Linked DNA regions of Arabidopsis thaliana. The protein of the gene in region 2 interacts with the protein of the main gene of each other region in a biochemical or structural test. Each region holds a gene or a part of one and is shown on either strand. Other genes may lie near its edges.

Region 1 (5,354 bases), on a different chromosome or scaffold from region 2:
ATGCGTCCACCACCAAGTGCCCCACCGGACACATGAAGTCTTGCATTTACAAAGACCTAAATAATTAACCAAAGAATTTAATAATTCTGATGAGGACAGAAAAGAGAACCAAAGAGGAAGAAGCATCCATACTGCTGCATGCTGATATCTGGAAGATGGTGAGACACCAGGGGCTATGGCCCATTCCCAACGTCCATCTCTGTGCTTCGCAAGTCCATATGCACTGGCCAGAGGCTATCAATTCAAACGTAGAAAAAAATTAAGCTCCTCAATCAACCATTCAAGATTAAAGCAGTCCATTAAGTTTCATATTTCACTTTACGCAGAATTGACAACTTCTCATGATCATGTATAAACACATAATTGATAATAAGCTCATTCCTTGTTGACAAAAGAAATTATAGTTCCTTTTCTCGTAGAAGCTTCACGAGGTCTTGCACACAATTTATGTTTGTTACTTCTTCAGAGTCTGTGTTGAAACACACACAAACTCTTGATTAATTTACCTAGCAGAGAAGAGTTACATCTCCATCTGCTCTGGAACATAGAATGAAGATCGTTCATTGGACCATTAATAAATTTGTAGCTGGGGAAATAAAATACTTTTCAATTTGCTCAGTGACAAAACTCAACCTCTATAAATTAATTGACTAAATCTCACGGTCCCATTTTTATCTCACACTAAAAGCAAAAGCCAAAATAGAATCATGCCTCTATAAGTGGCTCAGTGTTTGTTTCAAAGAGATAATTGGGTATGACTGTAATAAATCTCTTCACTTACCACACTGTTTGCATCCCTTCCACCACAGAGGAGAAGAAGACCATCGGAGCGCGCACTTGCAGTTGCATACCTAGTTACAACGTACAAACAGATATAAACAATTACTCCAGAAAGCTCACAATCATAAAGGAGTCTAATCAAACTTACATGCAGGGAGGTGGACCTTCCCCTTCTGGTTCCAACTTACGCCATTCATAAGGCTTGGCGGCAGTATCCAAGGCCCATACATCAGCAAGTGGACGTTTTCCTAGTAGTTCGAATGGAGTTCAGAAGGGTGAAGCTTTAATGAGAATATGATACCCTTACATAAAACACTGAGAATAAGCCAATATGGAAAACTGCTTACCATCATTTCCACCAATTGCCATGAGATACCTTTGCCCCACGAGTGCCATGACATGTCCATAACGAGGTCCTGGTCCAGGACCCTGAACAACAACCCTGGATAGAGACATAATCAATATCAAGACACGAACTAGTAAAATGAATTTTCAACCGAGATAGTGGCAGGCATATTTTCAAACCTGTGCCATCGTGGCCGTTGTTGAGTGAGATCAAGAACATGAAGGTCTTCAGCCGATAAACCAGCAGGACCAATTCCACCCTGTACAACAGAAAGAATTTATAAGCACTTTCATAGCTGACTGGAAATGCTCATCTTACATTGATAAACTTAAATCATACACATAATATAAAAACATCATTTCTCCCCTACCTGAATAACTACCATGGTCCCGACTGCAGTTGCAACATGTGCGGCCCTCGGGGTTGGTGGTTCTCCAAAAGGTGTAAGCCTGTAGCCTCAATTCATTTAATTAACTGGTATCCACACTTTTAAACGGGGTAGGATCTCATGCATTTTTCATAATTAGCGTGAAAACCCAAAGACATTCACATTTAATGCTCACCTAGTCCACTTATTAGAAAGTACATCATAACAATGAACATCAGCAGTTGCCCCAGCTAGCCCTGCAGAGAAAAGAACACCCAAATTAATTAATACAACCAGATAAATCTAGGAACCTTAAGAAATAACAAGAACTAGAACATAGAATCTATCAGCAAATAAACGGAATTAGTGATCTAACATTCCACAGCCAATACTGTGCCCTGGTACTACATCAAGCTCTTTGCTCTACCGATTCCAAATGAAATAGGATGCAATAAATGTTGAGGAAACACTGCCACCTCAGATTGCCAGTTAAATTTAACAGATGTGAAGCTTTCAGAACTAAAGTTTCCAAACTTAGACGATCTCACAAGATTGCAAGCAAATAACCAGCGTATATCTTTGAAATAGGTAAATCTTTAAAAGTTCAAGGCTTGGCAAGGGCCCTCTATCAGAATAATTAAGCCATAAGAAAAGAGTTAACTTTTTCAATCGTTCAGGAGAGAACCTTCAAAGCAAGGAAGGCAAACTACAACTTCACAATAGTTAGGCAAAGGAGAAGGAAAATGTAGAGCGGTGATACTTAAAACTATTTAACAAGCAGAGAAGGAAAACGTACGAATGCCGGCACTTCCAGCTGAAGTAGGAGTTCCGGTGCCACCAGAATTTCCCTCAAGAGCCGTCGCACCACCAAACAATACAAGACGAGGACCAATATAACCAGGCGTTCCTTCATCACCAACAGCAGGCACAGCCGTCAAGGTGTGACCACACCTAGGGCCAGGCCCATCCTCTTTTTTATCCATCATAGCATCCACCACCGAATACGTAGGTGCACACCTCGGACCAACAACTAGCGCCGGCTGCTGCTCTTGTCCAACAACCGCAGCCGCTTGCTGCTGAGAAGTTGCCGGATTAGGATCCGAAGGCGGCGGCGTAGGCACCGATCCGCCTTCAGGAGGAGGTGATTGGTCGTTCATCTGCTGAGGCGTTTCTCTTTCCATAGGCGAAGGAGATTGGCCTCCATCAAGGCTCTGAAACTCACGATCCTGATCGTTGTCAGCCACCATAGACGAATCTTCATCCATTATCAAAAAGCTTCAAAAGTGGGAAAACAAAAAAAAAAAACTAACTAAAGAAAGACCGATCCAGCTAAAATTCGCAGAAAAGCGAATCTGTGATCAACAACATATCTGATGTTAAACTTGCCGCTCTCTCGGAGAATATTCCGGTAAAATCGAAACCCTAGTTTTCTTTCATTCACCGGTCAGATCCTCGAGGCTTGTTTACAACAAACAGAAACAGTTATTTTCCAGGGAAATTAATAAAACGATGCAGCAAGCAGACATTCACACATTTAGGAAAAACCAATTTTTTTTTTTTGTTTATCTCAAGTTTCTCTCTCCTCTCTCCATAAGTACAACAAAGCCTAATCAGTCTTAACCCTCAAGGACGCCAATGGAACGAGAGACACGAACCAACTCATTGCCAAACGTACGAACCGAAATCACTATAACATTTCTATTTACTTTGGTTTTATATCGATTTGGTAATGACATATTTAGCAACAAGAATTGGTTATTGAAATGTTTAAACTTTAAAGTTTCATTATCACTATTTATTGTTCAAAAGAGTCCAAACCCCAAATAAGAAAAAAGTTTAAAGTTACATGAAAACTCTATTTATGGCTATTATATTCTCAAAACAAAGCGATAGGTATCTCCAACTGGCAAAAACAATTCTCCATTTTCCACCAGATTTGAGTTGTCACTTTTTTCTACTTTTCCCCAAAATAAGACTTTAATCATAAAAACAAAAACATCAAGACACTCGAGAACTACTGCGACAGGTTCAACTGCTGTTACATTTTTTGAAAAAAAAAAAAAAACTTTAAGTAGCTTCGGTTGCCATCTTTGCTTGGATGGACTACAATTTGATAATCACCGCATCGTAAGAGGACCTGTGTTAGCTGGTTTCTGGAAAACTTTAACAGAAGGCATTCCATCTCCATCTTCTGTGTTTTGAACCCTCCAAGTCCGATCCTTTTTCCTCTGTGGCTTTTTGTGCTGTTTATGTGACGCGGTTTGCTTCTTTGCTGTCACTTTCTTTGAAGACTTAAGCCCATTGGCAAGATCAAACGAGCTCAGATCATCTAGCACATCATCAATACCAGGAACTTGCTCGTTTTCTGTCTCATCTCCTACTGCAGAGTCATCGGACTCTGAACCTTCGAGAATATCCTCCAGTTCTTGAGTGTCTTCTATGTCCGGTTCATCAGCTTGGGGCATTCCAGGTGGCATTGCATAATGTGGCAGCTTACCTCCAATGTAATCTTTCAGAATCAGCCTTGCAGCTTTCGTTTCATCCGGTAGTCCACTCGAGGCAACATAGCCACGAGAAGCACAGTAACTTTTTAAGAGCTCTGCAGCATGAGGCGGGCGGGACTGACGCTCATAGGTTTTGGGTTTAGGAAGAGAAATGTTGTACACACTCTCAATTACACGGCGAGGGACCTTGTCAGCCACCACCTGAATAGCTTCACGGTGCTCCGTCATCCGGTCAATCGGAAGTACACCAGAAGCAATCATTTCATATCTTGAGCTTGAGAACGAAGGGAAGACTAAACCAGGGCAATCGCATAGCATAAGCTCATCAGAGATGATCAAAGTCTGGAAATGCTTTGTTTTTCCTGGGGTAGAGGTGACACCTGTTCGCTTCTGACCCACCAATGCATTGATTGTAGAACTCTTTCCAACATTTGGGTACCCAACAAATCCAACCACGGCTTGATCACGTTGATATTCACCAGTCCATGACTGTGATGATACGGATGCTGCTCTAGAATTCCTTACTTTGACAATCTCTTGAGCCTCAAATTGCAAACGACTCAACAGCTCGTCTCTGCCATATATCATAATGTCTGGATCATCTGTCTTCTGCAAGTTATCGGGTTGTCTCCATTGCTCTTTCAAGACTTTACCTTCTAGGGTAGCTGTAGCAGCTATGGCTGACCAGAAAACAAACAGAATGTTGTTAAGGCGGAAATATTCTGCCCATTTCTCCCTACAAGTCAAAAGTTAAACCAATCGGTTAGAATACAAAAAAGGTTGGAGGCAAAGTATTAAGGCACAAGAGGATTGGCTAACCTGACATCAGTAGGTAAAAGATCCGCCTTGTTCACTAGAAGCATTATTTTTTTATGCTCATCAATTTCTTGAGCATATGCCTGTGTCACGATGAATCTTCAAGTAAATATGAATCAGGAATACGGTGCCAAGTGGAGTTTCAAGCTGGGAGAAAATGCATTACCTCAAGATCAGGGCAGCGGTAAAACAGTGGATCTCTAGCATCAACTACCATAACAATCTGAAAAAAGGACAAGTATAAGTAATCAAAACTGTTTTGCAATTAACTAAAACGCAGAAATTGAACTTATTGAGAAGGTTAATACATTATTGACAAAGACTTACCAAATCACTGCGTTCAAGCACTCTCCAAAGCTGTCTCCAGATGTCAAGGTTCTTTTCGAATGGAGTCAACACTAGCTTTTCATTTTCCTCAAGGCTAAACCAAAATACAGGAGAACATGTAAGCATGCGTAACACCTATAAACTTCCCAATCCAAAAGATTGATTAGGGTCAAACATCTATAAACTCTAGTTTGGTTTATATACGAAAGATATC
Region 2 (5,346 bases):
CTAAAGTTTCAAGTTTGCAGAATGTTAAGCGTTATATGAATATGATCCATATGAATCCAGTGGCAGCGTTATATGGATGTTGGGGAGTCATGATACCGGTGTTGGAGGCTGTGAAGAAGGAATATCTATATGGAAAACAAGTCGCTATATAAACAATCATGTTTTCTACAACTAAAAAAAATTTGTATGATTTGCGATGTAACAGATGGATCGCAACTAATAATTTTTGAAGAACTTATTGTAGTTTCATCAAAAAGGCGATAGTAAAAAAAAGAAGATCAAAGATGAAAACGAATAAAAAAAGTAACAGAATTATTTCTCTGGTAGCATATAAGTCCTACCTATCGAAAGAAGCAACGTGCGATTTTACTTTTTCGATTATTTTGTTTTACCTAAATATTGGTTGTATGTGTATGTTTATTGATAACCATGTAATTTTTGATTCAATATAATAAAATTAAATATTAAAAAAAATGAAATGAAAAAGTTTACGTCCAAAATATTAATTTTTTTGTTATGAAACAAAATCTTAATCGAATTAAATAAACCGAAGTTATTGAAGCAGATGAAATTTGTAAGAAATCAATTTGATGTTAGTACATATATAAAAACAAACATAAATCTAGTATTAACTAAATTGCCATGTTTAAATGTTTTAACAAAATTTGGTTTCTAACAATAGTCTCACCAAACAAACTTAACCAAATATAACTTGAAAAACAAGTTAATAAAAATTTACTTCACTTTCATGGAGTCGGAGTTGGTGGCGTAGCCCCTCTCCTATTCATACCGGCCCAAGTACGAGCATCATCCACGATTACCCTCCTTCTCTCAATAGCTTCTTCACTAGTTACGTATTCTTCTTCTTCTTCTAACATCCTCATCATTGTCTCATCCGGTGACCTCGATGTCCCCGCCCCATCCTTATTTCCTCCTAGTAGTCTACGCCTAGTTCTCCTTTCCTTCCTAATTGTGTGATCAATGATATACTTAAGACACTCCACGACTTGGCTGATCGATGGTCTAGCGTTTGCTTCTTCTGCTAGGCACAGAAAGGCCACTTCAATACCTCTATAAAGAAGTATATTCGAAAAACCGCCTTTTCTTGCTAACCTTGGATCTACAATCTGCCTTATTCTGCCATTCAAGAACAACGGTCGTGCCTGTTAAGAAAAAAAAAAAGAAACACATGAACATGTCGTCATCAAAATCGGAACATTCATTAGTCTAATACGTATCCACACATCATTAAGGGCCATAACACGAAACTCTTTTTCATCAGCATAACCAAAATCAAAACCTATATATGGTTAAAGGTCAATAGTAAAACCACTACCATTTTTACGAAAAATCAAAATTGATAGCATATGGTTTAATGGTTAATTGATTAATCTAAACCCTAAACCCTAAATCGTAAACGGTATAATTATGCAAAATCGACCAAAAGGTCACCATCAAAACAATTTTTCTCTTAAGCAAAATTGGAATTTAGATAGATATAATCTGGTTATATAGTCTAAAAGAAGCAAAGCCTATAAATGGTCATAAGGAAAAAACTAATCCATCCTTAAGCAAAATAAGGTTGAGAGGATTACCCAATGCACAAGATAGCGACTTTGATTACCAACGCATTCGGATGAGGGCATAAGAGCTTTGCGTCCACTGATAAGCTCCAGCAGCACAACTCCAAAGCTATAAATATCAGATTTCAGCGTCAACTTCCCGGTGTTCGCGTACTCTGGTGCACAATACCCATGAGTTCCCATAACTCTAGTAGAGACATGAGACATATCATCACTTGGACCAAACTTTGCAAGTCCAAAATCTGAGAGCTTAGGTTTATAGTCATGATCCAACAATATGTTTGAAGTTTTCAAATCTCTGTATATCACAGGAGGTTGTGCTTCGTTGTGAAGAAACGCTAACCCTTTAGCCGCTCCTAGAGCTATCTTCATCCTTGTCTTCCAATCTAAAGCCTCTTGACCCTCGCTAAGATCTGACAAAACAACACAAGAATTTAAAAAACTTTAATGAATCTCGTTCTTGAAAATTTCTTGGTTTGAGTGTAGTTTTTTTTTTACCGTAGAGATGATCTTCTACAGATCCAAGAGGCATGTATTCATAGACAACGAGTCTTTGATCGCCTTCAGCACAATAACCGAACAAATGCACTAGGTTTCGGTGGTGCAAGAGCGAGAGCATTAGGACTTCCACAAGAAACTCTTTGTCTCCTTGAATACCAGACTGATCAAGCATTTTAACAGCTATGTTCTTGAATTAAGACCAACAACAAAGCACAATGACAAACAGTTAGAGATTTCACAACGACAAGATTATTGATTTGATTAGTCCAAATGTTAATAATAGATTACCTGTCCAGTGCTTAGCCTTCCTTTATACACAGTTCCAAATCCACCTCTTCCGATCAAAGATTCATTCCTGAAGCTGTTAGTCGCGATGGCGAGTTCTCTGTATGAGAAAATCTGACATCTGTATCTAGAAGAATCTTGCACTACGGTTTGTGAACTTGACGAATCTACTTCTTTTGCTGTTCCAGCTGGTTGGGCTACAGAGGAACAAAACAACACAATGAGAGACTATATCACATATGTTATTGGATCACAAGTAGATTAAAAAGACATTTATCAGCCAAATACACAAATCTTTGAACTATAAAACACAAACCCTAAGCCGGGATTTGTACGATCCGTATAAACTAATCACAAGACAAATACTATATGTATCATTAATAAATAAGCTATTTAAAAGAAAAGGGAGATTTTATCATGATTTACTACTAATGACTGGTATTAAAGATGACTAATCTCAAGATTAATCTATAAATAATAATAAAAAGATCAAAGGGAAGTGAGAGGAACCAGAAGAGGAGGATGTCTGGTTACGTATGGATCTCTTATGAGATTTGTCTTTGAGCTTCGTTTTCCGACTGGGACGAAAACACAAGCAACTAACCATGTTTTCTTTTAATCAATCTCAAGGAAAATAATCTTTTTGTTGTTGGTGTCACTCAATAAACAAAGATATACACACACATACACTCTCTATATGGTTTATCAATAGGGCTCAAGAGATGATCACACACGAGGACAAAGAACTAACGGTTTTGTTATCAAAAAGATGAAAACTTTGAAGGAATCAGACGAACCCCAAGAAACACACGATCAACAGAGATTCGAGTTTTGGGAATAATTTTCCATCAAAAATTGATTACAAAAAAACACGAGAAATTTGTGAGGTGATAAGGAAGGAGATTTAGATTAAAATCGAGAGTTTTCGTAAAATTTTGGGGGATTTAGATAAGATTTGGTTGAAGGGGTTTTGATAGGAAGGAAAGACACGTAATCAACAAAAGAGAGCATGGGGGTGCAATATATATGGTACGTTACTCACCAATTGCTTCTATGAGATAAAATCATTTATTGTTTTATTATGCCATTGAGGGTAATAATCTACAATGTTAATTGTTTTATAGTAAGTTTCTCCTTTATATCCCTGGAATTTATAATTGTGATAAATGTTGGATTCTGAATTTAAACTAATTTTTAAGACAAAAATTAGAAAATAATCCTCACGTTAAGTATTTCTAAATTCTAATAGTGATATATTAGATGATAACTATGTTTGTTATGCATTCAAAAAAGGCCCAAAACTATAGACGTAACGACAAAAAAATTATCAACGTTTTTGAAATTCATTGAAGAATTTTTTTTGTTGGTTGGTTTTGGTGCAAAATAATTTTTAAGTGTATTGCAAAAACCGCAGAGAATAACAAAATTTTGATAAACAAATTCATGTAACGTGAGCTACAAGTATTAAAGATTCCCAGTCTAAAACTCAATAATTTTTAACAGACGATGAAAACGGCAAGATGCTTTTCCCTATGTTTAACCTCAAAATTAAAAGGAACGCTGATAATGGTAAAATTTAGGCCAATATATCCATGCAATGTAAGTTAAAAGATTTTATCAAAGATTCTCTGTCTGAGACATAAGACAGTTCCGAACCAAATTTGGAAACACATTCAACTTCTATTTCACATTATTCAATATACGATAATGATAATTATCGGAACTTTTTTTTTATGGTTTCTATGGATTTTATGACTCCATTCTTATCATTTTGTGCATAAAAGTCTAGTAATTAACAAAACTAAAGAAAGAGGAGAGGGAAACAGTATTAACAAGTATTAATTATACGAACGTATACACATTTGATTCTTGGTTGTGTTCTTCTCTAGCTCCACTATGAGGTTCAAATTCAAAAGTTGTTTTTGATTTAGCCAAGACTTTAAAGAAGCCTTGGCCGAGATTTTATGACGACAGATAACGGTCAATAATGATGGTTAACGTTGTTGATCGGTTTTTACGATCGGTTAAGGTTCTGACATTAGTACAATATGTAATGTAAATCATGTGATGTGAGTCATGGAGCCATACCACTCTTAAAATTTGGAGATTGTATGGTAGTACGTAGAATAAAAAGTATGGTAGACAGTACATGATTATGAATGAATCATGACGTTCTCAAATCTTTTTGTAATCAGATTTTATTTCCATCACAATTATTTATTTTTAGTCATTACAAAAGTTTACACCAAAATAGCAATTGTTACCTTTAAAATGCATATTTTACAAGAACTACTTACATAATTAGTTTTGTCCATCTTAAACTAGCTCTCACCTATACCTGAACCTACTTGCAATGTTAGTAGCAAATTTCTAACGACGAGAATAATAATAATGAAATTAACAATCTGCAAGTGGTAGTAAATTGAAGTTTCACTAACCGAGAATCAATTTTTGTATTAGGAAAAGTTTGATTCCACGAGATGATGTTCCATCTTTAATGTCTGACACCAGCTTTATTCCTCTCTTAATCTTACTTTGTTTCTAATAAACACCAGAAGTCTTCTCTTACTTATAGCTGGATATATTTGACTTCGGTTTAATTAGTTAGTTCGGTTTGGGTTTAGTTATTTAGACCTGGTAAGAAAGCCGGTTCAATTTAAGAAGGGAGTAGTAAAACCATATATTGAACCAAGAGGCCAGCTAGTTACTCGTAGGCCTGGGCGTTCGGTTTGCTTAATTCGGTTTGGGTCCGGTTATTTAGAACAAAAAGTTTGATATGGCCGGTTCAATTAAAGAAGGGGAAGTAGATTTGAAGAATAAAACCAGTGAGTCCATTTATAACCAAGAGTCCAGAATCTTTTTCAAGAAGTCATTATATGATTGTTACAGTGCTTACGTACTCTTTCTTGGCGCTACAATAGGCGTGGAACCGGTCTTCGTTAACCGTACCAAACCCGGAAAGCTCAATGCCGAAAGC

The links. The genes of interacting proteins can lie anywhere in the genome.
Region 1: of the proteins of CDG1 (region 2) and BSL2, one has a biochemical effect on the other in vitro, tested with the Arabidopsis thaliana proteins (one study listed by BioGRID).

The regions. Positions count from the first base shown.
Region 1 is NC_003070.9:2,647,363-2,652,716, reverse strand, and holds the start of BSL2 (BRI1 suppressor 1 (BSU1)-like 2), read right to left. Parts: upstream 3,259-5,354; 5' UTR 2,759-3,258; coding exon 2,290-2,758; intron 1,751-2,289; coding exon 1,690-1,750; intron 1,576-1,689; coding exon 1,497-1,575; intron 1,386-1,496; coding exon 1,306-1,385; intron 1,223-1,305; coding exon 1,128-1,222; intron 1,029-1,127; coding exon 929-1,028; intron 852-928; coding exon 782-851; intron 235-781; coding exon 133-234; intron 57-132; coding exon 1-56. Other genes in the region: AT1G08410 (P-loop containing nucleoside triphosphate hydrolases superfamily protein), read right to left, coding at 3,611-4,733, 4,817-4,896, 4,980-5,036, 5,141-5,234. UniProt on the Arabidopsis thaliana protein: Phosphatase involved in elongation process, probably by acting as a regulator of brassinolide signaling.
Region 2 is NC_003074.8:9,935,961-9,941,306, forward strand, and holds CDG1 (Protein kinase superfamily protein), read right to left. Parts: upstream 3,346-5,346; 5' UTR 2,977-3,345; coding exon 2,880-2,976; intron 2,567-2,879; coding exon 2,373-2,566; intron 2,272-2,372; coding exon 2,082-2,271; intron 1,997-2,081; coding exon 1,596-1,996; intron 1,164-1,595; coding exon 747-1,163; 3' UTR 622-746; downstream 1-621. Other genes in the region: AT3G26950 (uncharacterized protein), read right to left, coding at 5,242-5,346. UniProt on the Arabidopsis thaliana protein: Serine/threonine-protein kinase involved in the positive regulation of brassinosteroid (BR) signaling and plant growth. Mediates BR signal transduction from BRI1 receptor kinase to BSU1 phosphatase.